4 linked regions of the Astyanax mexicanus genome follow. The protein of the gene in region 4 purifies or fractionates together with the protein of the main gene of each other region. This does not show direct contact. Links are inferred from orthologs where the notes say so. Each region holds a gene or a part of one and is shown on either strand. Other genes may lie near its edges.

Evidence for each region.
Region 1: the proteins of irak1 (region 4) and irak3 purify together in Homo sapiens (co-immunoprecipitation; 3 studies listed by BioGRID and IntAct, with this or other methods). This does not show direct contact. The link is inferred for Astyanax mexicanus from reciprocal best matches to the Homo sapiens genes IRAK1 and IRAK3.
Region 2: the proteins of irak1 (region 4) and toll-interacting protein purify together in Homo sapiens (affinity purification with western blotting; 11 studies listed by BioGRID and IntAct, with this or other methods). This does not show direct contact. The link is inferred for Astyanax mexicanus from reciprocal best matches to the Homo sapiens genes IRAK1 and TOLLIP.
Region 3: the proteins of irak1 (region 4) and peli3 purify together in Homo sapiens (affinity purification with western blotting; 7 studies listed by BioGRID and IntAct, with this or other methods). This does not show direct contact. The link is inferred for Astyanax mexicanus from reciprocal best matches to the Homo sapiens genes IRAK1 and PELI3.

What each region holds. Positions count from the first base shown.
Region 1 is NC_064409.1:10,746,653-10,754,604, reverse strand, and holds the start of irak3 (interleukin-1 receptor-associated kinase 3), read left to right. Parts: upstream 1-4,510; 5' UTR 4,511-4,615; coding exon 4,616-4,730; intron 4,731-4,842; coding exon 4,843-5,019; intron 5,020-7,799; coding exon 7,800-7,840; intron 7,841-7,952. UniProt on the Homo sapiens protein: Putative inactive protein kinase which regulates signaling downstream of immune receptors including IL1R and Toll-like receptors.
Region 2 is NC_064423.1:8,568,598-8,576,641, reverse strand, and holds the start of toll-interacting protein, read right to left. Parts: upstream 3,224-8,044; 5' UTR 3,126-3,223; coding exon 3,093-3,125; intron 1,005-3,092; coding exon 855-1,004; intron 1-854. UniProt on the Homo sapiens protein: Component of the signaling pathway of IL-1 and Toll-like receptors. Inhibits cell activation by microbial products. Recruits IRAK1 to the IL-1 receptor complex. Inhibits IRAK1 phosphorylation and kinase activity.
Region 3 is NC_064415.1:31,437,917-31,446,160, reverse strand, and holds the start of peli3 (E3 ubiquitin-protein ligase pellino homolog 1), read left to right. Parts: upstream 1-4,636; 5' UTR 4,637-5,052; intron 5,053-8,244. UniProt on the Homo sapiens protein: E3 ubiquitin ligase catalyzing the covalent attachment of ubiquitin moieties onto substrate proteins. Involved in the TLR and IL-1 signaling pathways via interaction with the complex containing IRAK kinases and TRAF6.
Region 4 is NC_064419.1:4,121,462-4,129,004, forward strand, and holds the start of irak1 (interleukin-1 receptor-associated kinase 1), read right to left. Parts: upstream 3,405-7,543; 5' UTR 3,072-3,404; coding exon 2,960-3,071; intron 1-2,959.

The sequences.
Region 1 (7,952 bases), on a different chromosome or scaffold from region 4:
ATTCTGGCCACAAATGTTAACCCATATGTCCCACCATATTCAATAGAGTTCAGGTAACATCTATATGTTATGGACTTTAATAATGGAACCAGCAGTCTTACTACATCACCTTATGCAGATTTAAGATAGATAGGTAGATATAGATAGGTAGATATAGATAGGTAGATATAGATAGGTAGATATAGATAGGTAGATATAGATAAGTAGATATAGATAGGTAGATATAGATAGATAGATAGATAGATAGATAGATAGATACTTTATTCATCCCGAAGGAAATGTAGGAAATGCTGCCATTTGATTTTGTTTGTCAGAATTTCCCAGTTTCATGTAAGAACTTCAAGTGGAATACCCCCTTAAGTAACATTTCCTACTTGGAAAATAGGGAGAGCACCACCAACCCAGATTTCACAATCCAACATGCCTGCCCCACATAATAATTTACCATTACTTATATTTGTTTGTGTCTCATTAAATCAATGGTACACACAGTACTGTCAAGTTTTTAAGTGTGGACATTGCTATCGCTAACAACTCTAACCTGGAACAATGCTAACAGTGGTAAACTAGGATGTAAAAGGTAATAGATATATTAGGTGGGAACTAAGCAACAAAAACAATAAGGTATTTTTGGTTTGTTTGTGTTTGCTAAAAACTTTGAACCAGATGAATGTAATTTAAATTGTGTGTATTGCAAATATTTGTCACATTTTATTCAGTAGTATATATTTAGTACATTTATTTATATATTTTTTTAAAACCAAAGAGATATATTCATGATAATATATAATAATATATAATATAATATAATATATGATCACACACTGGAATGTGGCAGATATAGATTAAAACATTACATAGATCATCACAATCATGGTAAAATTAGGGTTTTAATCTAGATTTAAAACCAGACAAGAAAGGTGAGGACCTATTGTCCAGTGGTATACCTACTTACTTACTGGTTACAGTAGTATAGTTAAGATAAAAAGAAACAGCATGTTTATCACCTTTTCTTGTGGTCACAGAAACAATTTAATCAACAATTTAATCTTATCAATTGATCTAAGAAGTGGAAGTGGATACTTTAACAGTTGCGTTCAAATATTAAGATTCTTTACCTGAGGCCTCACGTAGGCAGTATCTAATGCTGTTATGGTGTATACCCATCCCTAAAAATGTTTCCATACAAATAACAACCATTTACATTTACAGCACTTTAATTGTATGGGTCTTTAAAATCTAAATATGTGTTGACTGTTACATTTGAACAAGAAATGAGAGAAATCATTTAGTCATTGTAATCACTGACGAGCGAGCGTCATGGTTTAGATCATCCTGCTGTGCTTGATGTTGCAATTTGACGTATTAACACTACTTACTGATAGATAACTTTCTTTGGCGCACAAATTATGTTCATATGTCTGTGATGGGATTTTTCTTTCATAATCTTACTTTGTAATTTCAAGGTTAATGGCACTACTTTAATGTGGTTATGAATGCTACTGATGTTTTAAATACTTTTAAGCACCAAGTTTATCTACTATACAATTGAGGCCTTCCAAGAAAACAAATTATAGTTTAAAATTAGGTTAATTTCTTTTCTAGGTTTTTTTATTTTAAGTGTCTTTATGGATAAAGAAATATATCTCTAAATTAAGCACATTTTAGTTGTTAATGTAAAAAATATTCCTCCCAAAAGGGAGATATGTTTAATACATGGCTTTTTGTTGGAAGGGCTCAATTTAATTTAATTAAACTAAGAAAATAAATATTTTTTTATTACTGGGGTAAACTTACACTATGTTTTTAGTTTCTATGACCTGTGATCTGTGCCAAGTAACACTTTCTTCTCGGGTAAATAAAAAATAAAAAAATAATAAAGTTAAAGCCTAAAGCTTCAGAATGTTTATGGTGTGTTTCTATCTCATTTTCCATTTCATCCAACCATTGCCCTGCTTTTAATACTGTTATGTGATGTTTAACAAACTTAGCTAGAGATTATATTAAAAAAACAAGGCTCTTCTTTTGGAAAATGTGAACCAAAATAGGAGGTCAGTCAGCTGAATAAAAGAACATAAGTACATGGCTGTGAAATATTTTTACACTGACATACCAAAAGTCATGGGACAGCAGTATTTAAATTGAAGTCATGAAGTGTTAAATCAGAGGACTGCGTGGTAATGCCCACACCTCTATAAGATATACACACCTGGGTAAGGTGTGATATGTTATTTTGTGAATAAGGTTAAACAATATCCAGCAAACTCTCGGCAAGAGGATGTTAATTTTTAGAGTTCAAACAAGGCCTGATAGTTGGTGCCAGATAGATCGGATTTTCTTTTTTTTTTTTAAAGCTGTGCAGACATTTAACATTCTTCAATCCACAAACAGTGTCACGTGAACCTGGAATACATCATCAAAGCTATTGCCACCCATAGTGGCCAGCTCAGTGGGTATGGAATGTGACTGGTAGCGTCTGGATAGAACTGTCATTTAAGTTACTTACTACAGAAATCACATCCACATTTAATGCTGGAGCCCCATATGCATACTGTGCAGGACATTAGATCCTTCAGCTTGTGACAGCCAATGTATATGTTTCATTCTTGACCTGTGACTTTTGGCATGTCAGTATACTATGGAAACTATTTCCCCGAAAGCCTTTCTACTCCAAATTTATATTACAAAGCTGTCTCTGATGGCGGTTGTAAATATATCTGATTCCGCGCTGCACTGATTTTCAGTTTTAGTAAGTTTGTGATGATAATGCCCTATGATGTGGAAGTGGTTTTCCCCTTGTGGTGAATCTGATATGACTGATATGAATATATATGTGTATGTGTACGTTTGCTCATTTATTTTCAGTTCTATACATCATAATTTTACTTTCTAGGGTCTTTCCACAAGGTTTTCTTAGTATTCCAAGGCTTATTCTTAGCCAGCATTCTAATGTCAGGCTCTCATGGGTGGAACATAGGCTAGGTGGGTTCCAGGTGGGCTCCAGGTGGGCATGGGCTCTGAGTGGTTTTATTTATGCAGTGGGCATGGGCTCTGAGTGGTTTTATTTATGCAGTGGGACCAAGTTAGGCTTCCCAAATGGACCCCATCATTACAGCCCACCTTAATCTTACATTGGTCCCATCTAGGCCCTATGTGTAGTGTACAACTCAGAAAGGCCATGATTAACCCCTCCAGGTTCCATTACTGACCCTGATAGGGTCCATTGCTGACTTCTACATGTGGAGTCCACATGGAACCTGTTTCGTTTACCAATTATATACTGGAATTTGTTTTAAAATGATCACTGGTACACACTCAAAAAAAAGGTAATAAGGAAATAAGATACCAGGTGCAGTAAGTTTGGGGATTTCCATTTTCCACTAGCCTGCAGGTAAAATGTGAATCATCAATTTCACAACTGACTGATTCTCAACACCCTCACAAGCATGTTGAGAATTTGTGAATGCACTTTTATCTTTTCTATTGGTCTATACTAGGTATATGTGTACCATAAACTGTACACAGAAAGGCCTGCAATCAGAGCACACCTAATAGAGTATGAATAATGCTGGCACTAATACATGCATTATTCATGAAATGTCTTCCCTAATTTAATACACTAAAAACAGGACATCAAACATATTTGGAGTGGTTTGGTTGGAAACAGAAAATAGTAGAGGAACAGTTTGGTAACTAAATGTAAAACTACTGGTAAACTCCCATGTGCCTTTGATTTTCTGTCCTGCACATATTTAAAAGCAAGTTTTAAGCCAAGATCTTATCTTGTGCTATTGTTATGTTACAATAAACCTGATTTGCATAATGATGAACAAATAAGGTGTGTGCTTACATATGATGAAGATTTTTATCTAGGAATAATCCTTGTAAATGTTCGATGAACTATATATAAATTAACAAGATGTAATGTTAATGCATACTTTTGGATTAAATATGGAGGCGAAACTGGGAAAAAGTTCCTGGCAACTGCTCGAAAGTCAAATTGTGAGTATTTAAAAAAAAGGAATAAATGATCAACAGCAAGGTACATCTCAATATAAGAATTTACTCTCAGTCTGTGCCAGGTTGAATGATAATAATTTGAATGTCTCAATTAAATAATAATCAAATATGTTATAATTTTTTTCATTAAAATATGATTCAAAAGGCAGACAGACAGACAGTCTATAGTTATTTCTAATAGTGCACCTGCTATAATGATTGTAATTTCTTAATAATAGTGTAATCAAATATGATATGAAAAAAAATTGTTTTGTTTTTGTTCATTAAAATATAATCCAAAAGGAGACAGACAGACAGACAGACAGACAGACAGACAGACAGACAGACAGACAGACAGACAGACAGACAGACAGACAGATAGATAGATAGATAGATAGATAGATAGATAGAACAGGTGTCTATAGTCATTTCTAACAGTGCGCCTTCGCGGCTGTTTCTAGGTTATTGACGCATGCGCATCACTGACTGTGGCTTTTAGGAAGTGGGCGTTTCCTGGGCATTTCCAACTTAAAGCAACATCTCTGACAAACAGCGGAGAAGAACTGAAGTGTTCACCGCGCGCAGCTCTCCTCACACATCCTCACACATCTCCGCCATGTCCTCCAGACTGGACCCCTCCACATACCTGTTCGACCTGAACCCGCTGCTGATGGACAGGTTCTGTAAGATGATGGACAGCGGGCCGGACAGTCTGGGCTGGAGGGGGCTGGGTAAGACTGCGCTCTGTAATCGGTAGTAGGAAGGAGTTAGAAGTAAAGTTATTAAGTACCGCTACTTTGCGCTCTAAAGCTGCTGCTGCTGAACTGGTTTCTGTCTCCACAGCTGCCCGGATCCTGCCCAGCCTGCTGGAGGTGAGGCACACGGAGATGCACGCCGCCGCTGGCAGAAGCCCGACCCATGAGATGGTGTGGTCCTGGGCTCAGCAGAACAAAACTGTAGGGGATTTAATTCGGGTTCTGGAGGAAATGGGACATTACCGAGCTCTGAATCTCTTTCAAGGTAAGCTTTAGACTTCAGACTGCTTCACACTTCAGTGAGTTTTCTCTATTTACGTCTATTGACGTCATTATTAACCACAAACACCTCTTCACTCTTCCCCTTTGTCATTTTTAGACTTAGTATTCACGAACTCGCTTCATTAACTACTGTAAACATTTTAAACATGTATCAATTGAGTAAGAGCTTAAAAAATAAAAAAATAATGATGCTTTATTTATTTAGTGCCTTTCCTGAAACCTCGAAGCGTATCAATTGAGTAAGAGTTATAAATAACATTAAAATAATGCTTTATTTTTATAGCACCTTTCCTGAAAACCCAAAGCACTTAACAACACAGCATTAGGTACAATGCCTAAAAACAAACTGCCCAGGTCTCCCGGAAGTTGCAGGAGTCTACCACATATCCATAACATCTCCCTCATGCCCGCAAGTCAGATAAAATCTCCCAGAATCTACTACAAGCCACAAACGCACATGTAGGCTCCCCTCATGTGCATATTCATGAAGCGCATGCAAAACAGAGAGGGTTCTGATTGGTCTGTTCTCTGCAAAGAGTTTGCTAAAGAGTTCAGTAAGTAAGAGAAGGAGCATCATGGCTCCCATCAAAACTCATCACACCTCTTACTAAAAGATAAAAAAAAGTCTTGCCCTCTCTACAGTCAGTAATAGTGATTTTAGCATTGCCCACAGGGGACTAAATGATTGCAAAAGGCATGTTGAGGTGAGGTAATGTATATATAATTCATTTTTGCAACTTGAGATGTGTGCATAAAAACCAGCGTGGCATAGAAGCACAAGAATAATTCAGGGGAAAAAAAACATATACATGTAACAGATAAATGATGTGTTGTGGTCTCTGAGTGCTCCAGCGGTCTACAATGCTGCCACTATGATTGGAAGATTGCTGGTTTGAATCCAGGTCATGCAGCTTGCCATCAGTCGCCGAAGCCCTGAGAGAGCACAATTGGCCTTGCTCTCTCTGGGTAGGTAGATGGTGCTCTTTCCCTTCATCACTCCTAGGGTGGTGTCGATCAGCATAAGGCATCTGTGAGCTGATGTATCAGATCCGAGTTGCTGCGCTTTCCTCCAGAGTGCGCTGTGATGCTATTTGGCAATGCTGCTTCTGCAGCAGTTTGAAAAGAGGCGGTGGTGAAATAATTTCACATGTGTCAAAAGAAGGTGTGTGCTAGTCTTTCACCCTTCTTATTTTGTGGGATCATCTGTGATTGGGGATATACAGGTGACTAGCAGCTGAATGGGTGGGAAAATTCTCCTAGCTAAATTGGGAGAACATGGGAAAAAAATGTTTAATACATTTAATTTTAAAAAAGTGGTTTGGTTTGGAATACTCTATATTAGGAAACCTGAAAATAAGAAGAGGTAGAAAGAGGTGGTGATTATAATAACCAGTCATCCCAACACTTTCTACATTTTATTTTCTGTTAAAGTCACATCGCAGAAAGAGTTTACATTAAATGATTATGAATACAACAACTTTTAAAATGAACTGACAGTGGAAAGATGCATCCTGGTATTGTATTGTGGCTCCCTGCAGTGAATGTGGATGTGATGTCTGTCAGAGATACTTTTCTATTCACATAGACAATCCTAGCAAAGGGCCTCTGATCACGATCATTACCACTCACTGTGGGCAGTAAAAGCCTTCTGTGATGTATTCCTGATTCACAAGTGTCACTGTGGTTTGAGGAATGTCAAATGCCCTCACAACTTCACAAATGTCATATCCCACTGCACCCACTATTAGGCCTCGCTCAAAGTAATTCTGATAGCCTTGTTACTGTTGCTTTGCCATGAGCATGCTGGCCTAGTGTTCAAATTCACTCACAAGATAACACCTCACAAATGACACAAATTATTGGTGGTGTGTTATCTCAAGCTGTCCTCTGAGGCAACACCTTATAATCCATTAACATACTGTGTTTTTAACAGTGTTTTTCTAAATCAGAAAACTTGTGTATGATTCGTTTGCGGATAGAAAATGAATCATGTAAAGAAATTAGAGTCATTAAGTTTTTCTGCAGAATCAGTGAACAGCCAGTTTCACATATTAGACATCAGTGACATCATTAAAATTATACTGAAATTAAAAGAAGTACAGTATTTTTCCATTGCAGTAGTAGGTAATTAAAGTACTGGGCATTAAGTGTGTTTTAACTGTGTAAAGGGTTTAAATCCTGTGTTTCTGTAGGCAGGGTAGCCTGTATGCATGACCAGATGTGAGAGTATTTGCAGACTGTGTTTATTTGGCATGCTGTTTCAGAACAGCAGAGTTTTTCCACATGTGACTTTCCCTCCCTCATATTGTTGGTTAGATTATTTTACAGTTTGTGTTTCAGTTCCACTTTGTTTCTGTGTATGAACATCCTCTTTCTCACGTAACTACTACAACTTAGAAATGTATGATCCACATTGATGGGGCCTATTTATAGTGTTTGTTCTTAAATAATAGTATTTCATAAAGTTTGATGAGCAGATTCAGAACAGAATATGCTGAGGTAGGAGAATTGAATATAATATTTTTTAATAAATATTAATGATTCATTAAAAATATATATTAAACATTTAAACACCCTTAGTGCTCCTGCTCAAAATTAAGTGACACTAAAAGTGTTTAAAGTGTAATAAAATATACTAATTAAATATCACATAATAATTTGTGGCGAGGTGTGACTGACAGGTCAACATGTGTGTGGCCAAACTGCTAATTTGACCTGACTGTTGGTATCACCATTTTATTTATTTATTTTTTTCATTTTTAGACACTTCAATTCCCTTCTCAACCTCTCTCGAATATTCAAAGGTATGTAAAAGTATTTGTAGTTCACTCATGTTTTATACACTGATGTCTTCTCGGAACCCAGAGAAATTATCACTGAAATGTTTTATATTTTAAGCACAAATTATATTTAGTC
Region 2 (8,044 bases), on a different chromosome or scaffold from region 4:
ATTTTAAAGAGTTTCTATTGGTCCGTTCATCAAGAAATTTTGGCACAGTGTAAGGGACAGTTTGTCTGTTCAATTTATGTAGTAAACTAAAAATCGACAAAAATGGAGATAAGTGTTTTTCATAGGACAGCGACGATAAATAGATATCTTATATAATGTGATTACAGGTGTTACAGCGAATACGCTATTGGGACATCTGCTCATTCATTGAATTTTAGGAAAGGTTCATCCTGATTTTGTTAGAGTACCTGTCTCTGCTGTCCAGGGAATGGTTTTAATACAATGTTCAAAATGCTGGATAAGCCAAGACTAACCTTAATCTGGGCAACTCCACCTATAGTTTATATGTATAGATGTGAAGTATAAATATATAATTAATATATTTTTAAAATGTACCAAAATCTTCATTATTCATTTAGAAAATAGTAGCCTTATCACTATGGTTGAGATTATTGTCCTTTTTGTTGTTATTGCTCTAATGCTTTAGCAATATTGTTTTCATAGCAGTCATAACAATAAAGCTACTTCTAATTATTGGATCTTAAAGTTAGCACAAATTGATAATCACGTTCAATTGTTCTGTCTGCAAACTCTATTATCTTTTGTAAGAAACACTGTCAAAAACACCATTTATAAACAAACTGATATTTAAACTACATTAATGATATTTTTTACAAATCTTTCCTGATATTCCTGATACCCTATCTCTGACGGCTCCCCACTCTCTGTGTAAGCCATGGATTAACCATAGGACTTAATATATCAAACGTTAACATATTTTAGTATACAGGCTTGGCTACATTGTAAATGATGGTCAACCTCCATGCCCTGCTGAGTTTAAAGGTTGAAAGTACCTGAACCACAGTGATACTGAGTCGGCCCACTGTTCCAATGGAGCCGCCATATTGGAGCTGCTGGGCTGCCTGAGCGTCCATCTGCACCTGCTGCTGTTGCTGGGTCGGGGTGATCCTCAGAAAGTCCTGGGGCAATTCCCCAATATACACCTGATTGTATACAGAGATTTACACAGATAGAGACAGTGATATAGAGAGACAGACAGATGTGTGTGTGCTGCTGAATCTCCTAAATCCCTTAAGTGTGTGTGTGTGTGTGTGTGTGTGTGTTTTCTACACAGTTCGGTTTTCTTGTGTTATATTTAAAGATATTAGAATCCACTCTTTACACAGAGAATCAGTGAGGTCAGGTACCGATGCTGGATGCCTAGTTCTGGCCACAGGTGTTTAATGGAGTTTGGCTGTATTTTTGTATATAATATTTGTACAGCATGCTTTTGCCATTGTGCTATTGCCATTGTGTCAAATCATCATGATAATAATAATAATGACAATAAAGATTCTTTATAAAAATTATAATTATATTTATAAAAATATCCTTTACATGCACAAACGCTGTAAATGCTGCTGCTCACTTGATGGGCTGCGTGGATAGTTTAGAAGTTTTTTTTTTTATATTTTACTATCTGAAATATGCTGAACAAGAACCACTCAATGTGTTTTAAGAATTGTTTGAGTCAAAATATTAAACCCTGTTTAATAATCTGTGCTGAAACACTCCGACAGTAAACTAATAACACAAGCTCAGGTTCATTTACGATTGTTCAGTGTGGTTCAGTCTCCCACAGAAACACAGGGGAGAAATCCTGATTTATAGTTTTATTATTTCCGTGACTGTGTTTGTTTAGGAGTGGCAGCCTCGCTCAGTTAACAACCAGCTAACCAATACATAAACCCAGCCCACACACTATACATATACAGTTATATGTAGATACATACAGTGCTATACAGGGATATATACCGTTAGTGATATAACCTATAGTAATCTGTAGCTAAATTCCATATAGTGATATAGAGGGATATATAGTGATATATATTTATATGTAGTGTTATATGTAGTTATATAGCTGTAGTAGTATATCTGAGCTGTTAGCCTGTTTACAGGGAGCAGCTGGTATATATGTAGTTTTATGTAGTTGTATGCAGTTGTTATGTAACTAAGTTTCATATAGTGATACACAGGTATATATAGTGATATTTATTTATATGTAGTTAAATATAGTGTTATATATAGTTATACATAGTGTTATATGTAGTAATATAAATGTGTTATATATTAGGGCTGCAACTAATGATTATTTTGGTAGTCGACTAATTTGACGATAAGTCAACGATTATTTTTACTAAAAACGATAGAAACAGCTGATGTATATGTAGATTTATAGTGTTATATATAGAGCTATATGTAATATATAGCTATAGTAGTATATCTGAACTGTTAGCCTGTTAGCAGGGAGCAGTAGATGTATATGTAGTTATATGAAGTTGTATAGTGTTATATATAGTGGTATATATAGTTGTGTACATAGTTATACAGCTGTAGTGGTGCATCTGAGCTGTTAGCCTGTTAGCAGGGAGCAGCAGATATATTTGTAGTTACATATATAGTTATATATAGTGTTATATGTAGTTATATAGGTGTAGTAGTATATATGAGCTGTTAGCCTGTTAGCAGGGAGAAGCTGATATATATGTAGTTAAATATATAGTTATATGTAGTGTTATATGTAGTTATATAGGTGTAGTAATATATATGAGCTGTTAGCCTGTTAGCAGGGAGCATCATATATATATTTGTAGTTAAATATATAGTTATATGTAGTGTTATATGTAGTTATATAGATGTAGTAATATATCTGGGCTGTTAGCCTGTTAGCAGGGAGCAGCTATTGTATATGTAGTTGTATATAAGTAAAATATAGTGTTATATAAATTGTTATATGTAGTTATATAGCTGTAGTATTATATCTGAGCTGTTAGCCTGTTAGCAGGGAGCAGCTATTGTATATGTAGTTGTATATAAGTAAAATATAGTGTTATATAAATTGTTATATGTAGTTATATCGCTGTAGTATTATATCTGAGCTGTTAGCCTGTTAGCAGGGAGCAGCTGATGTCGTCATGAGGATCAGCTGAGTAACAGATCAGCGCTGTTACTAATGAAGATCCTCCCGCTACACCGCTGGGTTAATACACCGCGCTGTGCTGCGGTATGTAAATGAGGACAGGTGAGCTCACCTGGCCGCGCTGTGTGCTGATAGTTGTGGCCATTTCAGCTGCAGACTGAGGAGCTTCTGGATCAGAACCGAGCAGATGATTCAGGTAAACACTGAGATCTTCGGCTGTTCCGGGGAGATCAGAGTCTACTGAGCGCTACTGCCCCCTACCGTCTCAGGTCTGCCCTGCGATGGATTGGCGGCCTGTCTGGGTGTATCGTGCCAGCCGGCTGGGATTGGCTCCACCAGCCCCCCCGCGACCCTCAATGAAGGGTATAACGTGCAGTAATGTGATTTTAGTATTGATTATTTAGTAATGTTGTTCCACACTTTGTGAGGATTTTGAGATATTGCTGGTCATTTTCGGGTTGTGTCTGTGAGTATTGGTCACCTTTAGGGTCAGTTGATGTGAAGAAAATGTAAAGTGTAATTTAGTGTAATAAATCGGTTGGCGATGAGTACGATTTGTATAAGGACTTTGGAGGGGATGCAAAGATCCATGTCTGACATATTATACCTGTATTGTCCTGTAAGCACATATGTTCTGTACTAAAATGAATAAATTAATAAATAAAGTAAAACTAAAATGCTTATTAATATTGACAGCACAAAAAACAACACTTTAATTTTTTTTTTTTACATTTTTGCTCAATTTTGGTTGGGCTATTTTTCTTTTATTACTTTGTTTTGTATGTGGACAGTGAATTGTGGGTAGCCGAAGGTCAAAATGTATACATAAGTTGCTTTCCTACGCATCCCTCTGAACACTGACGTTAACTGTCTTATACTTCCCTCTACTGACCATTTCTACACTCTACAATCTGATACCGCCCTCAGTCTCCACTCATTATAAAGTACCACATAACTGGTACTACTGATACTGGTACTTTATCTATTAATATGCGCTTTCCAGATACACATACATATGCAGCATATATATATATATATATATATATATATATATATATATATATATATATATATATATATATATATATATATATATAAATATTTTGTTTTCCTTTCTCACACTAAGAAAAGAAAAAAGAGTACAAAGCTTCTCGCTGGGGCTGTACCTTGTTTTTTGTACAGTAAAGATTATAAACATCATCATCATCAACTAAATATATGTGTCAAGAAGATCCAAAATTTTCATACATTTCTAAATTAAAAATTTATAACAATATTATATTTTGTTTATAAGTTCAATGGCACAGAATACTGAATTTACCTTTTGGCTGGTTAAATGGTACAAATCTGTACTCCCTGCTGATAGGAAAGACTTTGTACTTTAGAGGGAACACATCTGAACCGGTAAAGACCAATTTGAAACCTTTGAGGGAACAATTAAGTTTTCCCTTGAGTGCAAATATATTTACTACTATTCTTGCCATTAATAATCTGGGATAAAGTGATCTATCTATCTCTCCATCTATCCACCATTTACAATCTCTGTCTGCCAGTATTGTCTCCTGTCCAGTGATGGTATAGTTACTTTGAAAAAGTAATCCGATTACTGATTACTCCTTTAAAAAGTAACTTAGTTACTTTATGGATTACTTGATTTTAAAAGTAACTAAGTTACTTTACAAGTTACTTTATTAGTTACTTTAAGCAGCTGCACACACCACGTCCCGCCGCCTTAACATAAAAATTATAACCAGTTTTACCAATACTCCCTTTATTGGAAAATGCATTTTTAACAGCATCAATGTATCTCTAGACATTTAAAGTTGAACTATTTATTTTTATAAAATTAAAAGACCATTTCTCTTGAATTAACTTAACATAAATAATTTTTTTATAAAAAATAAAATATGGTCTTTCTTGATTTCACTTAACATAAATACTTGTTTTTATAAAAAAAATATAAAATAAAGAAAGTATTTCTTGACCTGACATATTTAACACTGTAAAACTGAATATTGAACCTGTTGTTCTCTGCAGGGCAGCAAGGAGTGGTTTGATAAAACAAAACCGTGTATATGGTCGAGGCCAGGGATCACATATATGCAGACGTTGTCCAATGCGGACCCAAACCGATAAACTACTGAGAAGGATTTAATTTTGACAGTGTTCATTTAAAGCGTCAGAACTTTTGTTAAAACTTTTTGTTTTAATTAAGTGGTAAATATTATTTAACATTTCTAAATTGTAATGCTTAAGAATGTTGTAAATAAAGATGAATTGCGATATCAGTTTTAACATTTTGTAGGAATTAATATCTTAAATAGTGTCATAATAATAATTAGTTGAGGCATTCTAACATAAGTATGGTTAAACAATGTAAATTAATTGTAAAGTGCTACTGATGCATCTGAGGCCAAATATCTTAAAGCAGGATTCCTCTACTGTAATTGTATATTTTGGTTTGTGGTAGACAGATTTACCTCAAACCAAAAGGATAGGTATGTGGTTTTAGCAGGTGTCCATTTCAGTCATAATCAAGTGATCACCATGAATTTATTTTGAAAGTTACATTTTTTGTAGCTTGTATTTTTTTCCTTTTCAAATTTCATATTGTTTTTACAGACCATTTTTACTGAAAGATGTTACTGATCTCTATGTATCACATGCAGAGGGGGAACAAAAAAAAGTTTTAGATTTGATTTGCTCACTTGGCATTTTTTGAAAGGCAAAATAATGTAGTAATATGCTCAAAATCATGTAACTTAAATATATAATTATATTAAATTATGGTCCTCCAACCTCTGTGGAGTTGTGGGTGCTAATTTGTAATTTGAACAAGTATTTCTAATAAAACAGATGTTTTATTAATGTATAATTTATGTTATTGGATGAATAAAGGGATACTGCAGTGTCTCATGGAACCTGGTAAGACAAGCAGACTGTAAGAACTGTGATTTTTTTTTCTCTGTTTTTCTAGTGTGTATGCTGACCTCGGACAGTACTTCTGAAATGCTAATGCTTATCTTTTGGAATTTGATTCCTTTGATTCTTATTTTTTAAAGCATCAGAAAGTTATCAGTATATTTCTGTATGCAGGGCTTAATTTTGCACATGTAAATCCCAAAGCTTTAATCGCTTTAAAAGTTGTATATAGATATTTCTCAGAGTTGCACAGACAATTGTAGGCAGACCACCAGTCACAATAAATTTGAATGAATAACCTTCAATAATAAATTACTGGCCAATACATTGAGGTAACACTTCATGATCAGCATCAAACCTACTATCCCATGACTTGTAGAAGTAATGTCAGTGTAATTCCTAAGTGGTCAAACATCACATAGAGGCGAGTTGTTGAAAATTACACTTTGGTTTTAAGTAAAACAAAAAGGTGTAACAACACTGAGAGCCTTTGTATATTACCAGATACATTATTTATATAAATTCAATTAAAGGAACAACTTTCACTGAAATACAAAACTGAAATTGTCCTTGAAGCTGACATGACCTTATCAACCTTATCATATTTGGGAATATGAGACACATGGGATAATCAGCTTTTAACTTCAGAACATCTCTGTTCATTACATTAATAATAAATCAATAATTTCTGATTTATTCTTTCAGTGTTTAGTTGAAGTGTTAAAAAGTGGTTGAATGTGGGCATCAAATCCACATTTAATAAAATATTAAAATTAATTTTTTTCCATAAACACATTTCAAGAAACTTAGCGATAGTGTGATCAAATAAACAGACAAAAGTGATAGCAATAAAAAAAACATTTATTGACAAAGTTAAGAAACAAACAAAATTAAGAACAGTTAAAAAAAAAAAAAGTGTCCAAACCTCTTTTGAGTAAGCACAAAGGAGACAGCGGCAAAGAAAATTCTCTCAGAAAGAGAGATAGAAACCTTGAGAGGAACCCATACTCCTTGGGTCAATACACAAATTAAAAATGTAAAAATCTGAAAAAGACAAAGAGCATAAACATTAAATGAAACAAAAATACATACAATGCAAATATAAAATCCCGTATAAAGACATACAATTAATAAACCCGCCTTTAATTTTTATAAAAAAATAAATAAAAAATAATATATAATTAAGTACAGAAAGATTAATAGTAAAATAGTAAAAGGTAAGTACAATATTAATTGATTAAAGCACTAAAAGACAAACGTTAAAATGTTTTTAATGAATATAAGCCCAAAATAAGACTAAAACACCAATACAATAACCATTAATAAAGCAAGTAACTAAGCAATAAAAGAAATATATACAAAAAGTGTATGGATTAAAACACTAACAGTATACTACATAAAGATAAATACAGTTAAGTAATTAATAAACATCAAAAGATAAACAATATCAAGATAAAAGGATTAAAGCCTTAAGTACATGAACACAAATACAAAACAGGAAGCAATTAAAAGCATACAATACACAAAACGATTAAAACATTTATATAGTTAAAGAAAATCATTACCTTTTTAAAAGTATGGAATCAATAGCTTTATTAATACCTGCTATTTTCCTTAGGTGTGTTTTATAAAAAAAACCTCTAAACTAGAGTATAGAGCTGGGCGATATGGCCGAAAAAAAAAAATCTTAGATTTTTTTTTTTTAAATCCAATTTTCGATTTAAATCGTTTTCTTCCCCCTACTAAAAATCAAACTAAAGATGATAAAGAAATGGTTAAAACTAGTTCTTATTTAATTTGTTTTCACTTAAAATGTTCCATTTGTGGTTAAAGTGCAACCAGAAACAAGCAAAAAAAAAACTATTGTAAACAGTGAGAACATCTAGTGACTTTTAGAAAGCTTTCTCCAACATAGTTTAGGTACTGACACAATGCACCCTCAAACTTAAAAAATAAATAAATAAATAAACACACCCTTAAAAACAAATAGAAATAAATAAAATGGTGCCCATTTTTTTTTTTTTTTGATAAAACTTACAAAGTACACAATAGAAAACAAGTACAATTTATATGCTCTTAAGTAAATTCTTTTCCCTATTGGGCTAGAATTGCAAAACAAAGCATTTAAATAAGTGCCAGTGT
Region 3 (8,244 bases), on a different chromosome or scaffold from region 4:
ATTTTCAAAAAAACACGCTGAACATGTTAAGATGCTCTTAATGCTAAGAGTTTTTTTTTTTTTTTATTGCGCCCTGGATAACAAGAGGTGTTGAAGTTCAGCACCATGGATAGTTCCAGGAAAGTGACCTGATTGTAGTCTGGGATAATGAACACAGTCTGGGTACATGAAGACCCATAATTGTGAAAATATAAGTTTAAATGTTGTTTTTAAGATCCAGTAGCTTCAATATACAATCAAACAAAAGGAAATTATCCTCATGAATATTAAAGTTCCAGGTTGAGTCGATGCTTTGAAGCTCTGTAATGATTAGACCTTTAGACATAAAGAAATAAACATAATCAGTTTGTACTACCTTAATATGTGTAATCCATTATATTTGGATAAATATTGTCATTGGTTGATATCCTATTTCAAGATGCTGATTGATGCCCTCTTGTAGAACATTTTGATGTGATCTAAGTTAATCAATTACTGATCATACTCATAAATGGTGTAATGTTGTAGCATATGAACCCTGATATATAAACTCAGTTAAACATATTCAAAAACATATGAAATTATTTAGTAAACAAAAATGCGTTAAACAAACCATATAAACCATGAACCATAACTTTAGATTTTAGATTATTCAAAGTGCTTGCTTGCTTAAATGACAGTATTGCACACCTGGAATGTTCAGCTTTCAGTTAACCCTTGTGTGATGTTCGGGTCTGTGGGACGTTTCCATTTTTCACCAAATGATACAAAAAAAATATTTTTTCTAACTCAAACTCATTGGCATTGGCTCATTTTTTGTGAAAAACATATATCAAAACACATTTTCGATAAGCACATACTGTACACCCCCCCAACCATTTATATTACATACAGTATGTTTGGACAAGGGCTAATAAACATTGCTTCATTTGTAAATTTGAAACTAAACAAATTTTCTACTCATATCTTGAGTTTAATTCATTTTCTTTTACATTTTATTAAAAAAATAATAAAAAAAGAGTAGCACTTTTTAAAAGAAATGTAACATAAGAAAGGTAAAGGGCAAATATTAACCATGTAAGCTGTTTATTTTGCTTGCAATTTAGGTGAAGCAAGCATGTGTAAAGCATTTTAATGTAAAATTGCTTAATTTTGCTGAATTAAATACAAGTAACAAAGTAAACGAGTAACAAAAATATGAACACCACACAAGGGTTAACAGCTCTGCTGAACTTAGGAGTTAACTACTTGAATTTCTTGTCCTCTTAATGAGCTTGAGAGCATTAGTTGTAAAGTTGTGAAGAGGTAGAGTGGGTATACAGTGAATAGCTCTATTTGAGTAATATTCTAATCCATATTATGGCAAAAACAACTCAATTAATTAAAGAAAATACTTTAAGAGGTCAGTCACTTTGAAAATATCATCAAGTGCAGTTGCAAAGACCATCAAAAATGTTATGATGAAACTGGCTCTCATCAGGACTGCCCTAGGAAATGAAAACCAAGACTTACCTCTGTTGAAAAGAATTACCAGCCTCAGAAACCACACTTTAACATCACCCCAGATAAGATTCACCTAAATGGTGGTTTGTTTATAAGTTACTACATTTTTCTTTATGTGTTCCTTCATTTTCTTCATATGCCTTCAGTATTAATGTACAATGTAGGAAAAAAAATAAAAGCATTGCATGAGAATATATGCCCAGACTTTTCAGTGGTACTGTAGGTCAAGTAAATCTTAATCTTATTTAAATCCTAAATAGGTGTCTCATGGTCATGGTTATTCATCAAGACTGGGAGTTTTTAAATGACTTCGTGTTTTATCTTAGTCATGCTGTGGTAAATTACCCAACACTTGCAGTCACACTTAACCCCTTCCTGTTTCAGTTACCAGCAAATATCAGTTTAACGTGAATGTGTGAAATGAGCTTGAGTCTTGTGGCTTGTGAGTTTTGGAATCAAGAAAACTGACTGCAGTTGAATCTGCAAATGTCACTTTCGGATTTTTTTTTCTTTCAAATGAAGAACCTTGAATAGAATTTTTGATTGACTATGAAACTCAAGGAAAACTCTTTTTTTCTCATAGAGCAAACTTGCTTACATCCACTCATGTGGTTTGCTTACAATACACATGTTGGCACACATGTAGAGCAAGGCATTCTTGCCTAACGTCATCTTTTGCTGTCTGAGGTTTAAATTTCAAAACACAAATACTGGACGCATTTACCAAGAATATTTAAGGTCAGTTTCTTAGACAGTGATTAAGCCTAGTCTTAGAATTTCCATTGAAATGAAAATATAGGCTACAGCTATAGACTGAATTCCTGTCCAGGAAATGGAGCACTAAAGTTCCCAGATATTTTTTTGTTCCTCCCCAAAAACTGTAGATCCATTAGTGGTGAACTTTTAACATTCATTGTAAATTCAGCACTGAAGCAATGGCAGAATACACTGATCAGACCCTGGTCAAACAATTGTAGTTAAGGGTGTTTTCAGCCCTGCATGTAGTTGTTTTTTATGGTCTGAATCAGTTGATGAGTTTGTTTACTTGGAGAGGTTTCTCCCTCTGTTTGGTTTGATTTCACACAGGCTGAAACGCTGCCCTTTCAAACAGTGTTTTTAATAGGACGCGCAGCACAATTGTACACATAATAAACTTGCTAGTTGCTAGTCTGACAGAAGTGGCCACAGCACAGAACGTGCATGTACACGGCACGGAGCAGAGACAGTGCTTGTTCATAGCTGTAGTAAGCCTTATCAGCAGTTTAGCTCAAATGAAAGGAGTCTTGATTTGATAGTTGGGTCGGATCGAGACGGGATCAAGTTCTCACCATAAGTGAACCGCTTCAGAGTTAATTTGGGAATGAACTGAGACAATTTCCTCTAGCAGGTCTCGGAGTGTGATTACTTTTTTCACACCTGCACAATCGAACCGCACTAAAGTTAAAAAACGGACCAGAGTTGGTTTTAACTGGACCAAAGTCTAGTGCTGGTGTGAAAACGCCCTAAGTTATCATATTTACATTTGTTTAAAAATCTTAGTTTATTTGATACAAACAGTGATTGTTCATTATGTTGTTTCTCAAGACTCAAATACGCTCCTATGGCAGCCATAGCTTAACTAGGTAGCAGTGACTAACCTGAAAAGCGGATCATTTGTATGGCCAGTGGTGGCCTCAGGCTGCATGGTTGTCCCTCAAACATCCTAAGGACACCACTAGGGCTCTTGGATATGTTTTCTTGCCTGTAGCAGAACCCAGCACTACGTTCCATTGTATCTACTTCATCTAAGGGCACCCTTCGGGACATTCTCTAGTAGAGGTGGCACTTCTATAGCAGCACACTTTTATTTTGGGAAGGCAGAAGTCCAACAATAGATACATTCTCAGAATGCCTTGATCTATAGGACACAAGATCTGAATTCATCACAAGAATGTGCAGCCTAAAAGGTACTTAATACTTTTTTCCCGTGAGAAGAGAAGCCAACATGGCTCTTTGTCTTTTTTACACTCTAGAGGGAAATTTAGCAACACTTTTCTGCTGGTGTGTATTGCGCACACTGTTTTTAGTTTCCATTTGTATCATTTCTGTTGCTCATCTCTGATGCTATGTGTGATGTAGTCAGCTGGGCTCATTGTATTGCACAATAGTAAGTACACAGCACAGTCCTCAGTCATTGTGTTCTTGTGAGTTTGTTCTTGCAAAGTAACTTGGTATTACGAACCACATTATTGTCTTTAAAAGCCCCCAACTCTGGAATAACCTACCTGAAGATATTTGAGAATAAGGAAAATTCTTAATGTTGGGGACTAGGCTAAAAATCTAATAGTTAAGTTTAGCTTTTGGTAATTAGCTAATTATTTTTCTTAGATAAAGGCTAAGGCTGCAGATACAGGGGTTCATGGACATAAGGAATTGTGGTGAACTAAAATGCTGGTGCTGTCTTGCCTCTTGCTGCACATGATCATTCAGGTTAGTTGACAGTGGAGTGAGTGGATGCTTATGTTTTTGGGTACCATCATGTCAATGTGCTGAGGATTATGGTGGGGGAGAAGATGTAAATTCTCACAGACTGTAAATTCTCACAAAACAATAGCTCTGTTTGCTCCAATTTTTCCTTTTTTTTCATATCGAGGTATAGTGTGTTATTTTATTTTTTAGATCTTTTAGCTGCTTCGTGTTGTCAGAGAGGTTCTTTTTAGGAGGTTTCTTGATTTTACAGGTCTGGCAGTAATCAGACCTGGTTGTGGCTAGTGAAATTAATCTCAGTTTAACAAAAATGCAGTTAATCACAGTTTTTACATAAATTAAATCATCATTTTAAAAGCTGCTTTTTTATTTACTATTGTTGTCTTGTTATAGTTTGTTTGATAATCTGAATTCTGAAAATGCAAAAAGAAATCTGCAAGGAGGCAAATACACCACTGTATATTTATTTGATTTAATTTGATATGAATTGATATTAAGGAACACCCTTGATTTAGAATTAAACTCGCACTGACTGCTGGCCAATCCTGTGGGAGGGGGGCGTGGCTCTCCCGAGCACGGGTGGGGATAGTGTATAATCAGTGTATCTCCAGCAGCATCAGCAGGCGTGGGCAGCAGCAGGTAGGCGTTGCCGTCCTCGCGCTCTCCCTTTCTCTGAAGGCGGGAGGGGGGGAGGGGGGGAGGCTTTACGCAAGAGTCGTGGTCTCTCCTCCGCGAGCGAAAAGAGAACGACGTGGGCGAGGGCGAAAACCTTCCCTGGACTGTTTTTTTTTTCTTCTTCTTCTTTCGTCTTCTTCCTCTCTTTTCTTTTTTTTTAACGAGGGGAAACGCGAGGTAGCGATGGGCGTGACGACTCTCCGGAGCGAGGTGATGCTCCGTACTGCCGGACTAACGTCCGTTCACGCCGCAGCTCCGTGAGCGATGCCTCTGCCGTGGCGATGCGAAGCACACGACGACGCGCTGTCCAGATCTCCGTAGCGGGCGATGATTCAGCAGCACGACTCCAGATTTTAACAGCACACGGGGACTGACGAGGCAAAACGCGGGCTCGACGCGAGGCGGAGAACAACACAACATCAGCAGCGGGTGAGTAAATAGATAGATAAATAGATAACTAACGGACGGTTAACGGTGTTGGGTTTGGTGCTGGGTTTGGATTTGGTTGGTTGCTGGTCTGTGTGTCCGAGGGCTTTCACGGTTAGTCGGCGTTTTCTGGCGATTTGTAGCGAAATAAATCGTATTTACTGGGCAGAGAATGGACGGAATCCCCTGCGCACGTCCCATAATTTCATCAGGCTTTTAGCTACTCGATTTGATCTTTTCCGTTCCACCTTAAATGGCGCAGCAGTAACAGTAGCTAGTAGTAACAGGGGTGTGACAAAATATCGATATGGCGATATATCATATTATATTATTTGGCGATAGGGATATTTGATACTTTTTTGCATTAGTGTATTTTTGTTTTAATTTTTGTTATCTATATTTTTCTGTAAGCTGTACACAGTTTGAAAAGATTTTAGAGTAGAGACATTTTAACAGGCGCAGAACCGTTCTAATTTTATTTTACAACAGAAAGCTGAGCTATTTAGGTTACTGTGTAACCTGACACACACAAAAACACAATTCCTGTTATTTGCTTATTTGAAAGTATTGAATCCTCTTTAATTAGCTAGACAAATGCTATAAAGTATTAAAGAGAGTTGTTTTGTAGAATATCAAGTATTGTTATATCATCATTATCGTGGGCAAAGTATTGTGATATTATCATATCGTGTGAGATGATGAATTAAGCAATAGTACACAAGAGGAAGTGCTATAATGTAATTTTGGCACTGCTGTGCTGCGGCCGTAGATCAGCACAACAGTACCAATATTAACTTACACATTAAGTTACACAGTGCTTATATTACCGGCTGATAACGGCACTCATAGAATGCCTCTCAGCCAATCACATAGCAGAGTTGGAAATGACTGTGGTATAATTCCCTATGATTTCCTCCCTTTTACACAGTAAAGGTAGTTTAAAAGCTGCACAATTTAAGGTGGAACTGAACATTCTATTTCTAAAGAAGCTTAACTTTAATCTAAAACCGCTTGATTTTCACATTTATAGCTAAGCAAACAAGCTTTATCTAGTCTTATAAGCTGCAACATTTAAAAATAGTTCACTGTTTAATTGGTTTGTGCCAAGTTTGCTGTTTTAGTGTAGTTTAGGTTTACAGTTAGCTAATGCAGCATTAGCTAGCTAGGTTAGCTAGCTAAAGAACAGCTGGAATCATCTTTTCAGTAGTTTATCTTTTTACAGGAATTTTTACACGTTCCACCTTAAATGGCACAGCAGTAACTGTAGTAATGGTAACTGGTAAACGGTAACTGCTGCTCTATTTAAGGTGGAAAGGACAATTAGAATAAGAATAAAAGGCTTGACTGTTTATTTTTTAACCAGGCAAATATGATAAATAAGACACACTTTAAGGTAAAATACACTCGTTTTGATAGTGTTTTTTGCTAGCCTTGCTGTTTTAGCTTGCTAATCTAAGTTAGCTATTTAATGTCAATGCTATAACAGCTAGTTAGCTAAGCTAGTTAGATAGATAGATAACTAACAGTCTGGTTGGCAAATCATGATAATTATGGATAGTTAGTTAAATAGGCAGAGTGTCAGCTTAGCCAGCTAACAGATGACTCTAAAAAAGGGCAAAAAGGCAGTTAAGAAATTGTGAAATGTCCTGTGTTGTTTTTTTCCCACGTTCAACAGTGTCCTTCCTCTCTCAGTTTTGCTGTGCTGTGTGTGTGTGAAAATGTCTGTGTTTGTCTGTGTCTGTGTGTGTGTGTGTGTGTGTGTGTGTGTGTAGTCCTGTAGACGCAATGCCGTGCAATCCGTCGTCTCAAAGCACACATGCTTCTGGCGATGCAAGCTGGAGAGCCCAACCGTAATACCATTACATAATGACCATCACAGCCCTCATAGTTCATATTTAGTCCTCTATTTCACTTGTAAATCCACGGATGATGAAATATCCCTGAGGTACAACCCTGTTTGTGAGCACTGTGCTACAAAAAACGTGGCAACAGCTGCAAAATGGCCAGCATGAGAGGTTGCATGTTGCTGGAGGCCTGGAAAGCGCTTCCCTGCACAATCCTGGTATTATGTAATGTTCTTAGATTATCCTATATCTAAACATCATTTGAAGCATATTACAGATGATTAAATGTGATCCTGTCTTGTGTCACAGGGCTCACAGTGATGTTTATGGATGCTGAGCTCTTGTTATATCTGACTTTCAGAGGGACACATCTCAAAGGAGAAATCTGATCCTAACACAAGGGATAGCTCATTACAGTGCTGGACAATAATTCAAACACATGAACAACATCTATTATGTAGTGCTGGGCAGTATGACCAGAAATATATATCAGAGTATATTTAAAAATTCTGAGGGTTTCACAGGATATCACAGTATTTGTATTAATAAATATTATTGTTATTTACTTCTTTTTTTTTGTTTTTGCATGACTCGAATTTTATTGATATTTGTGGCTTATTTTACTGTCAGGAGACTGTATAATATAAAACAATAAAGTTTTAATTTACTATAGAGTAGGAGTGGGCAATATGGCCCTAAAATAATATCACAATTTTTGTGGTATTTTTTCACGATACTCTTGGCAATATAACAAACACTGAATTAAAAAAAAAACCAAGAATACTCTACTGCAACAAAATGAAATTTTAATTTTATTATTGCATACGATATGACATGGTACACCCCTAACTGATTATATTAAAAAAATAAAGAATTTTATCAGATTTGTAACAGAATGTCAATGTCAGTGATCCAAAACGTCATGATACTAATAATACACTCCAAATTTGAATGTACAGTAATGTTATCTTACAGTGTTAAGCTACACAAATTAATGATTCTACAGCCAGGACTTTCTGGGCCCATCAGAGAGACAATAAAAACAGTAGGTAAAAAAACTAAATTAAAAAGTATTTAGAGCATTCCTTTATCTCAGTGTTTTATTATTTGATCATGAAATCAGTGAAATAGTTCTGTATTACACTAGCTAGTTTGCTATCTTGTGTAAGTCAATATAGATTTCCAACGAGTTTCCATCGGATAACCGATGCATTCCGTGTTTTACCAAGACCTGACGAGAGGAACTTTTTTTGAGCTGTTCCTTTTCTGAAATTAATAATTGCAAAAGCTTTGTCCATTTGCTGTTGTTTTTCTTTTTTAGAGCAGCAGCAGCTCCTCTAAAAAACTGCTG
Region 4 (7,543 bases):
ATGAATTGACATTACAATATTATATAGACAGTACCATTCAAAAAATTGTATACACCTCTTCTCATTTAATGAGGTATTACAGCTATACAGTAACTTTGAGGGCAAATTAATCTAGTGACAAAATTGAAAGAGTCTGGTAATACATTAGCAGTTTTATTTTTAGGGATATAAAACAGCAATGCTTACTGTTGAGATCAGAAGGTAGATTATCTATTATTTATGCTGAAGTTTATGCTCTCTTTTTCTGTCTCTCACACTTATGTGGTCACGCACACACAAACACATACAGCTGATGTCATGTTTCCGCTGTTGAGTGTGAAATATGGAACTACTACATTAGCGTTTATTGTCTCCATTAAACTCAGTAATATGTTTGAGATATTATATATTATATAAAAAAAGAATCTAGGCTGACAGGTGTAAAAACCAAACACCATTATTTTTGTCCCATTCCCAAAAATACAGTTAAGTACATAATCCTGATTTCATCCATGATTTAATCACAGAATATTGTTAAGATTTTTACCATTATTTGAAGGGACTGGTACTAATAAGACATGATTGTCTTATTTATGCAGAAATTTAAAACATTCTATAAGGTTCACAAACTTACAAGTACAACTATATATTATTATATCCAATCCATTATTTAAAAATCTGCCTAATTTACTCATTTATTCTGGAATTTACTGAGGTCATGAGAGCAACCCATTTTTTCACTAATGTTTGTAGATATCTGCATGCCTAGCTGCTTGGTTTTATACACCTGAATTCAGAATACAGAATATTGTTGTGACAATTATTTCAAGACATTAGCACCAATAAAACAAAGTCATATTTATGAAGAAGAAAATATCTAGAAAATCCTAGAGGGTTTACAAATGAGAACATCTAATCCAATTTTTTTTTTTATCTACCCAATTTATATTTGGCTTTATGCACCTGAATTCAGTGATTTGCAATGGTGAGCAATAAAGTGTTGAAAACATTCACAACTGCAAGATGATATTTTCAGCCTACTCGAAATGTGTCATTTTTACATTAATAGCTGAATATGGAGCTACCCTGGCATTTATTTTCTCCATTACACTAAGTAACTCACATTTACACACAACAATATTCTAGTTTAAAAAGCATCAACACTACTCTGAGATATTATAATACAGTAAAAAGAAGTCTTCCAGGTGTAAAGCACACTACATCATTATTTTGTTCCATTCTCAAGTAAATAAATAATGATTTAACCATGATTTAGTCCGTTTAAAAGCATCAAAACTACCCTGAGATATTATAATACAGAAAAAAAGGATCTAGTCTGCCAGATATAAACCATACTACACCATTATGTGTGTCATATTCCCAAAAATATAGTTTACATGGTTCATACACGTTTTAATCAATACATTTCCATTATATTTCCATGACTTTTGTAATGCCCTCCGGGCAAATTTCATGACCATACGATTTTTAAAACATCAGTGCAGACATGGACAATAAAACCAAAAATCAACTAAAACATTTTCTCCATCTATAAACGGAAATATAAAGATTTGTAGACCAAATTTCCATGACTTTTCAAAAACTTTGTGGTCATTATTATTTTTCCAAAACTTATCCAGGACTGAAAATTGCTATTTTCAAGTTCCATTACTTTTACAGGTTTTTCATGACCGTACAAATCCTGCGTTTATATCCAGCATTTAAAAAATGTAATCAATATTGCTTTGACAAATATTTTAAGTGATTGTCACTAATAAAACAAGGCCGTATTTATGCAGAAATCTAGAAAATTCTAGAGGGTTCATTAACTTTAAAGCAACAGTGTATTAAAATATCCAATACAGCCTTTATTTAGGCAGATGTTTAAATAAAACAAAAACTGTAGATAAACTGTGGGTTAACTATTTAACATATCTAGATACGCTAAGCTAACTGTCAACACTTAACCAGGCTAATTAGCTAACTGACCTAAACTACTTTTAGTCGTTTGACCAGATGACATGTTTAGCTTTGAAGGGTAACGTTAACAGCAATGACAAGTGGTTTAATTAGAGGCATAATTTAGTCAGAAACTTAAGCTAATTAATATTAATAGCAGCACAACTAAGGTAAGTTGAGTTAGCTAGCTAAATTATCATTATTATTGGTCATAGAGCTAGCTAAATAACCTAGCGAGCTAACTGGCTAACTAACCCCTTAACTTTCACTCACGTTGAGGAAGTTAGCCAGCTAGCCAGGCTAGCCTTGTACAACACTGTTTTAAGCTATGTTAGCTAGCTTAGCTAACTAGCTAACAATTCAATAACCTGTGTTCTGTCAAGTTCTAATACCATGTCAAGTTCTAATACCGTGCTACCCTAGTGTGTACGTTTAAGTGTACAAATTAGAATAAAGTTAAAGCACTATATGTTAGGTGATTAAAAACATTTATTATATATATAGTTATATTTTTATTATATTTTTTATAACTTTTTTTATTTTTATTTTTTACACGGTTGTAACACTCAAGTAAAATATATATCCATATGAGTGTGAGTCCAGATTGTACTAAATAAATAAATTAATTAATTAATTAACTTAAATTAACTAAATTATCAGGAAAAACTAGAAGTAAGTAACCCAGGTCCAGAAAGCAAAAATCCATCCCAGGGTTTTGTACCAACTGCCAACCAAGCCAAGCTGCGGAAGAGCCGCCCAGGCAGTTGGTACAAAACCCTGGGATGGATTTTTGCTTTCTGGACCTGGGTTATCCACCTCTAGGGAAAAACACATGAAAACATAGTAGCACATATCTATGGGGAGCACAACTCGATAAAACACCACCTACATCAAAACTTAACGCTAACTAAAGCGTGTCAGTTAGCTAAAACAGCTCAAATAAAGCGAAGTTACGTGGCTTAATAACCCTGAATAACTTAAAAATTAACTTAACGTTTTGTTAACGCTAATTTATCCTTACCAAATCTCAGCCAGTCCGAAACAGGCAGCGAATCCATGACCCGGGTAAATTCATTCACCACAGCCGCTGGTAAATCGTAGATATATTCGCTGTAAAGTCTCATATCGGACATTTCTGGAGCTGGGCGATGTGTTAAACCCTGTAGGAAGATTTTAAGATGTTTCAGCAGCTAGCGTGGCTAAAGCAGCCCGAGTTATTTCCACATGAGCTCGGAGTGAACCGAGTGAACGGCTCCCAGCGGGCAGAAGAGCAGTGAGTAATCCAAGCCCGTCCAGCAGCAGTACGAGTTTGACATAAATTCCCGTCCGTTCTAGGTGACTGACTGGTTGAGAATCCCAGTTTAGCAGGGCTGTGTTCTCCCACAGCCATGCTGTGTCATGCTTGGCAAGGTTAGCTACTTTCCTCTCCGTGTGTGTGTGTTTTTTTTTTTTCAGCAAGCTCTATATCTGTATAACCCACTGTTTTACACTTCCTCTTTCCTCACTTAGCTAGCCCACTTCCAGGCTGTGAACTTCTATCTACATAAACTGTAGTTATTGGTGATTAGTGCTGGGCTATATGGACCAAAGAATGAATTAATAAATAAATAAATCCGATCAGTCTGTCTGATTTAACTATATATATATATATATATATATATATATATATATATATATATATATATATATATATATATATATGTTTGAGTAAAATGAACACTGTGGTTACAAATAAAAATATTGTCATTTAGAGTATTGATTTGCAATAAATGAGAAATGGCTGAAATAACAAAAAGGGGACCTCAAATTTCAGACCTCAAATAATGCAAAGATTTCAGAAATCAATATTTGGTGGAATAACCCTGGTTTTTAATCACAGTTTCCTTGGCATGTTCTCCTCCACCAGTCTTACACACTGCTTTTGGATAACTTTATGCCACTCCTGGCACACAAATTCAAGCCATCAAACCAAGCTGAACTGCTTGAATTTTTTCACAAGGAGTGGCATAAAGTTATCCAAGACTGGCAGAGGAGAACATTCCTCATTTCAGAAGATGCATGAAAACTGTGATTAGAAACCAGGGTTATTCCACTTATGAATATGAGCTTGTTTTTTGGCATTATTTGAGGCCTAAAATCTTTTTTGTTATTTCAGCCATTTCTCATTTTCTGCAAATAAATGCTCTAAATGACAATATTTTTATTTGTGATAAATGTTGTCTGTAGTTTATAGAATAAAACAACAATGTTCATTTTGCTGGAACATATACCTATAAAAAGCAAAATCAGAGAAACTTATTCAGAAACTGAAGTGGTCTCTTAATTTTATTTCCAGAGCTATAAATCACAATTTTTTTCAAAATTGTATTTATTTTAAATGTTAAATGCTAAACTTCATAAAATGTTTTATTTTATTTTATTTTTTTGATGATTTTTATATTTTTTTTAACATTATGTCACCAATTTTACAGCTGAATTGGTTCATACTGTATTGAAATGTGTATCAAAATGATGCTGTTTGGGTAGAGTACAGTAGTACAATTGCACCACTGTTATTGAAATATTGATCAGAATAAATATTGATATTTAATTATTGTCCAGTCCTATACATGACTGCATGACATAAGCAAAATTGCATGACACTTATTTAAGAGGTTGAGTTCAGTTTCTGTCTAGAAGTAGGTAAAAAGTAAGAGTGTTCAGCATGTTTTGATGAAGGGAGATTCCACCTCCATGAGTCAATTCTGGAGATCTAATCAGATTTGGCGGTTCGGTGGTGTAAAATGGTTTAAGCGGTTCATGGTGGAGAAACCCTGTTACAGTAATTTATGTACTGTCTTTCTAGAACAGTAGTGACTAGGTCTGCAACACAAATATATCTATTTAATGTAGCAACTAAAACAGCCAGTGAAGCTAAATATGTGTTCTGAGATGAACTTACAAGCTATACTTTAATCAGTTTTTGACACATATCTTAAAAGTATATAAGGAGAGCCACATCAAAATCAAATATCCAGTCTTACATACAGTATTTGTGAGCAACAAAAGTATGTGAACATGCTTTTAGTTTCTGTTGTGACTCCTTTGTGCACCAATAAGTGCAACTAAATGTTTCCAGTAACTGTTGCTCAGTCCTACACATCCACTTTAGCACATTTTAAGCACATTCCTTCAATCCTGTGGTAGAATGTTTATGTGTGTAGGGTCACTGTCTTGCTGCATGACCCACATTCACTTGAGATTAAATTTACAGTATGATGGTATGTGCTGGTATCCGGCCTGGCCCAGATGCAACAAAAAAGGCTCAAACCATGAAACTATAACCGTGTTTTACAGAGAAAATAAGGTTTTTGTGCTGGAAATTGTTTTCTTTCTTCAACCATAATGCTCCTCATTTATAATTCAAATCTCTATATTGGCCTCATCTGTCTTAAAAACATTGTTCCAGTAGCCGTTCAAGTGCGTGACCAAACCACAGACACTGACAGATACAGTAAAAAATATTGGATAATATTCTTTTAATAAAAAAAAGCAGGTTTAATATTTGTGTCTCAATTGTTTGATTTGTTTTTTTCTAACCTACTTTTAGGACTTTAGTGACTTTATGCAGCATATATGTGCATTTTTCTGTGAAGACCGATCTCTCTAAAGCAGAGGACAGACTGTTAGTCAGACTGTTATCTGTCCTTGAAAAAAAAATGATGCATGCTTTACAACTTGTGTGTGACTCCTTCAGGACTAAGCAAAGACGAACGAAAATGTGACGAATGTTCCAGAAACCTTTTAAATAATATCTTTTTAAAGGTCAGATGGACTGAAAATATCACCAGACGTGAAAGACACTGCTGCTCTAGATATGGTCAGAGGGGCCCAAAAAATGGATAAAATGTCCTCACAGACCACCAGTGTGGAGCTCAGGTAGAAATCAGCAAACTGGGAGTTGCTATTGGTTTTTACTTTTTTTTATGGAGCTGAAGGCAAACATTGCGAGGGTTAATCTTTGCCTAGTCCTTGGGCCACAGATCTCACTCTGTTTTGGAACTGTTCATTTTAATTTCCTTTTATCTTTACATCCAAAAAAAACTCTAGTCAAACTGGCAAAATCTATTTTTGGACTCTGAATTATTTATTTATTACTAAATCTTACATTATTATAGTACCATTGTACCAAAACTACTTTAGTAATTATAAAATTGATGCTGTAATACTAATGTCACGAGAGTAAGTTGTAAAGTGCTCTTATTGTAGCTGTTTATTATTAGTACTACTTACTTTTCCAGCCATTTGTTGTCCAACCTTTTTTAGATGTATTGCTGCAGTAGGTTCTAAATAGCTTTAACGTCTGATATTTGTTCTATTGTGAATAAAACATGTCTCTGTGAGATTTACAAAGTATATCTGAAGAAACATATGTAAAAAAAAAAATTTAAATAAAAAAAATGTACATAAACAAAGTAAAAACTACTTGTGTGATTTTTGACAGTTCTGGGGAATCTTATCAAATTAAGTTTCAATATTTTTTTGTGTGAAATGTATTTATTATTAATTACTTTAAAGAAATTTTAAATCACAGGAAGTAATTTAAAGTAACTACTCATTACGTGGTGAAACCCATACCATAACAGCATTAAATATGATTGAATCTTAAATAATTTTCATTGCTGAGAGTATTTTCGAGTTTATACTTTTTAAAATTTTCAATTGCAAGATAAATAAAAAAAATAAGACATTAAGCACATTTTAGAATGAAAATATGAGATTAGTTTTTACCAAAACCCTAAGTAATGCATACACTTGATTTATAGACACCTAATAATTCTGGAAACGTGTAAAACAAATGTTGAGCATGTTAAGAAAATTAATTAAGATATTTTAAGATAACTCATGGTCGCACCAAATGAGGAAACAAAAATGTTTCATAAGAATTTTCATGTTCGCAAGATTTTTAATGCTTACACTCAAGATTTACTCTTGTTTTTAAGATTTTAAAACCCTCAAATATCTATGACCCATATACTGGCTCTGCAACGTTTTAACTTTAACTGCAGAGTGTGAGATTACTGCTATATATGGTTTAACACCTCACTACGTTTACCTTACCTGATTTCACCCCACAGATGATTCTTCGAGGGCCTTCGAGGAGCTGGATGTGCCGCACTGTGAAAGGACCAGCCCCTCCAGGGACCCGGTTCCAGATCTCAGGTCAGTGATGAACACCTCATATTAATGCATGATGCAGCTGCATTTTCAGCACGGCAGCTTTTGAGATTCCACTCCAGAGTCCATAATTGGAGACTTCATTTGCAGGCAGCTGGATGGATTTTTTCACAACACAGTATATATTTTTTTCTAGTGCATGAGCTTCAGACGAGGCTTTCTTCTGGGACGATGGTCATGCTGTAGCTCATTTTCAGGAATTTAAATCCTTGGCCATAAAAAAAAAAAATAATAATAAAAAAAAAAAATTAAATCATTAATGCTCACCTGATTTTCTACTTATACTTTCTTACTAATGTACTCTGAATGCAGAGATATGCAGAAAAATAAAATATATCATTTTGTGGTCTTATTTATTTTGTGCAGTTTTGATATTTAATTTTATTGT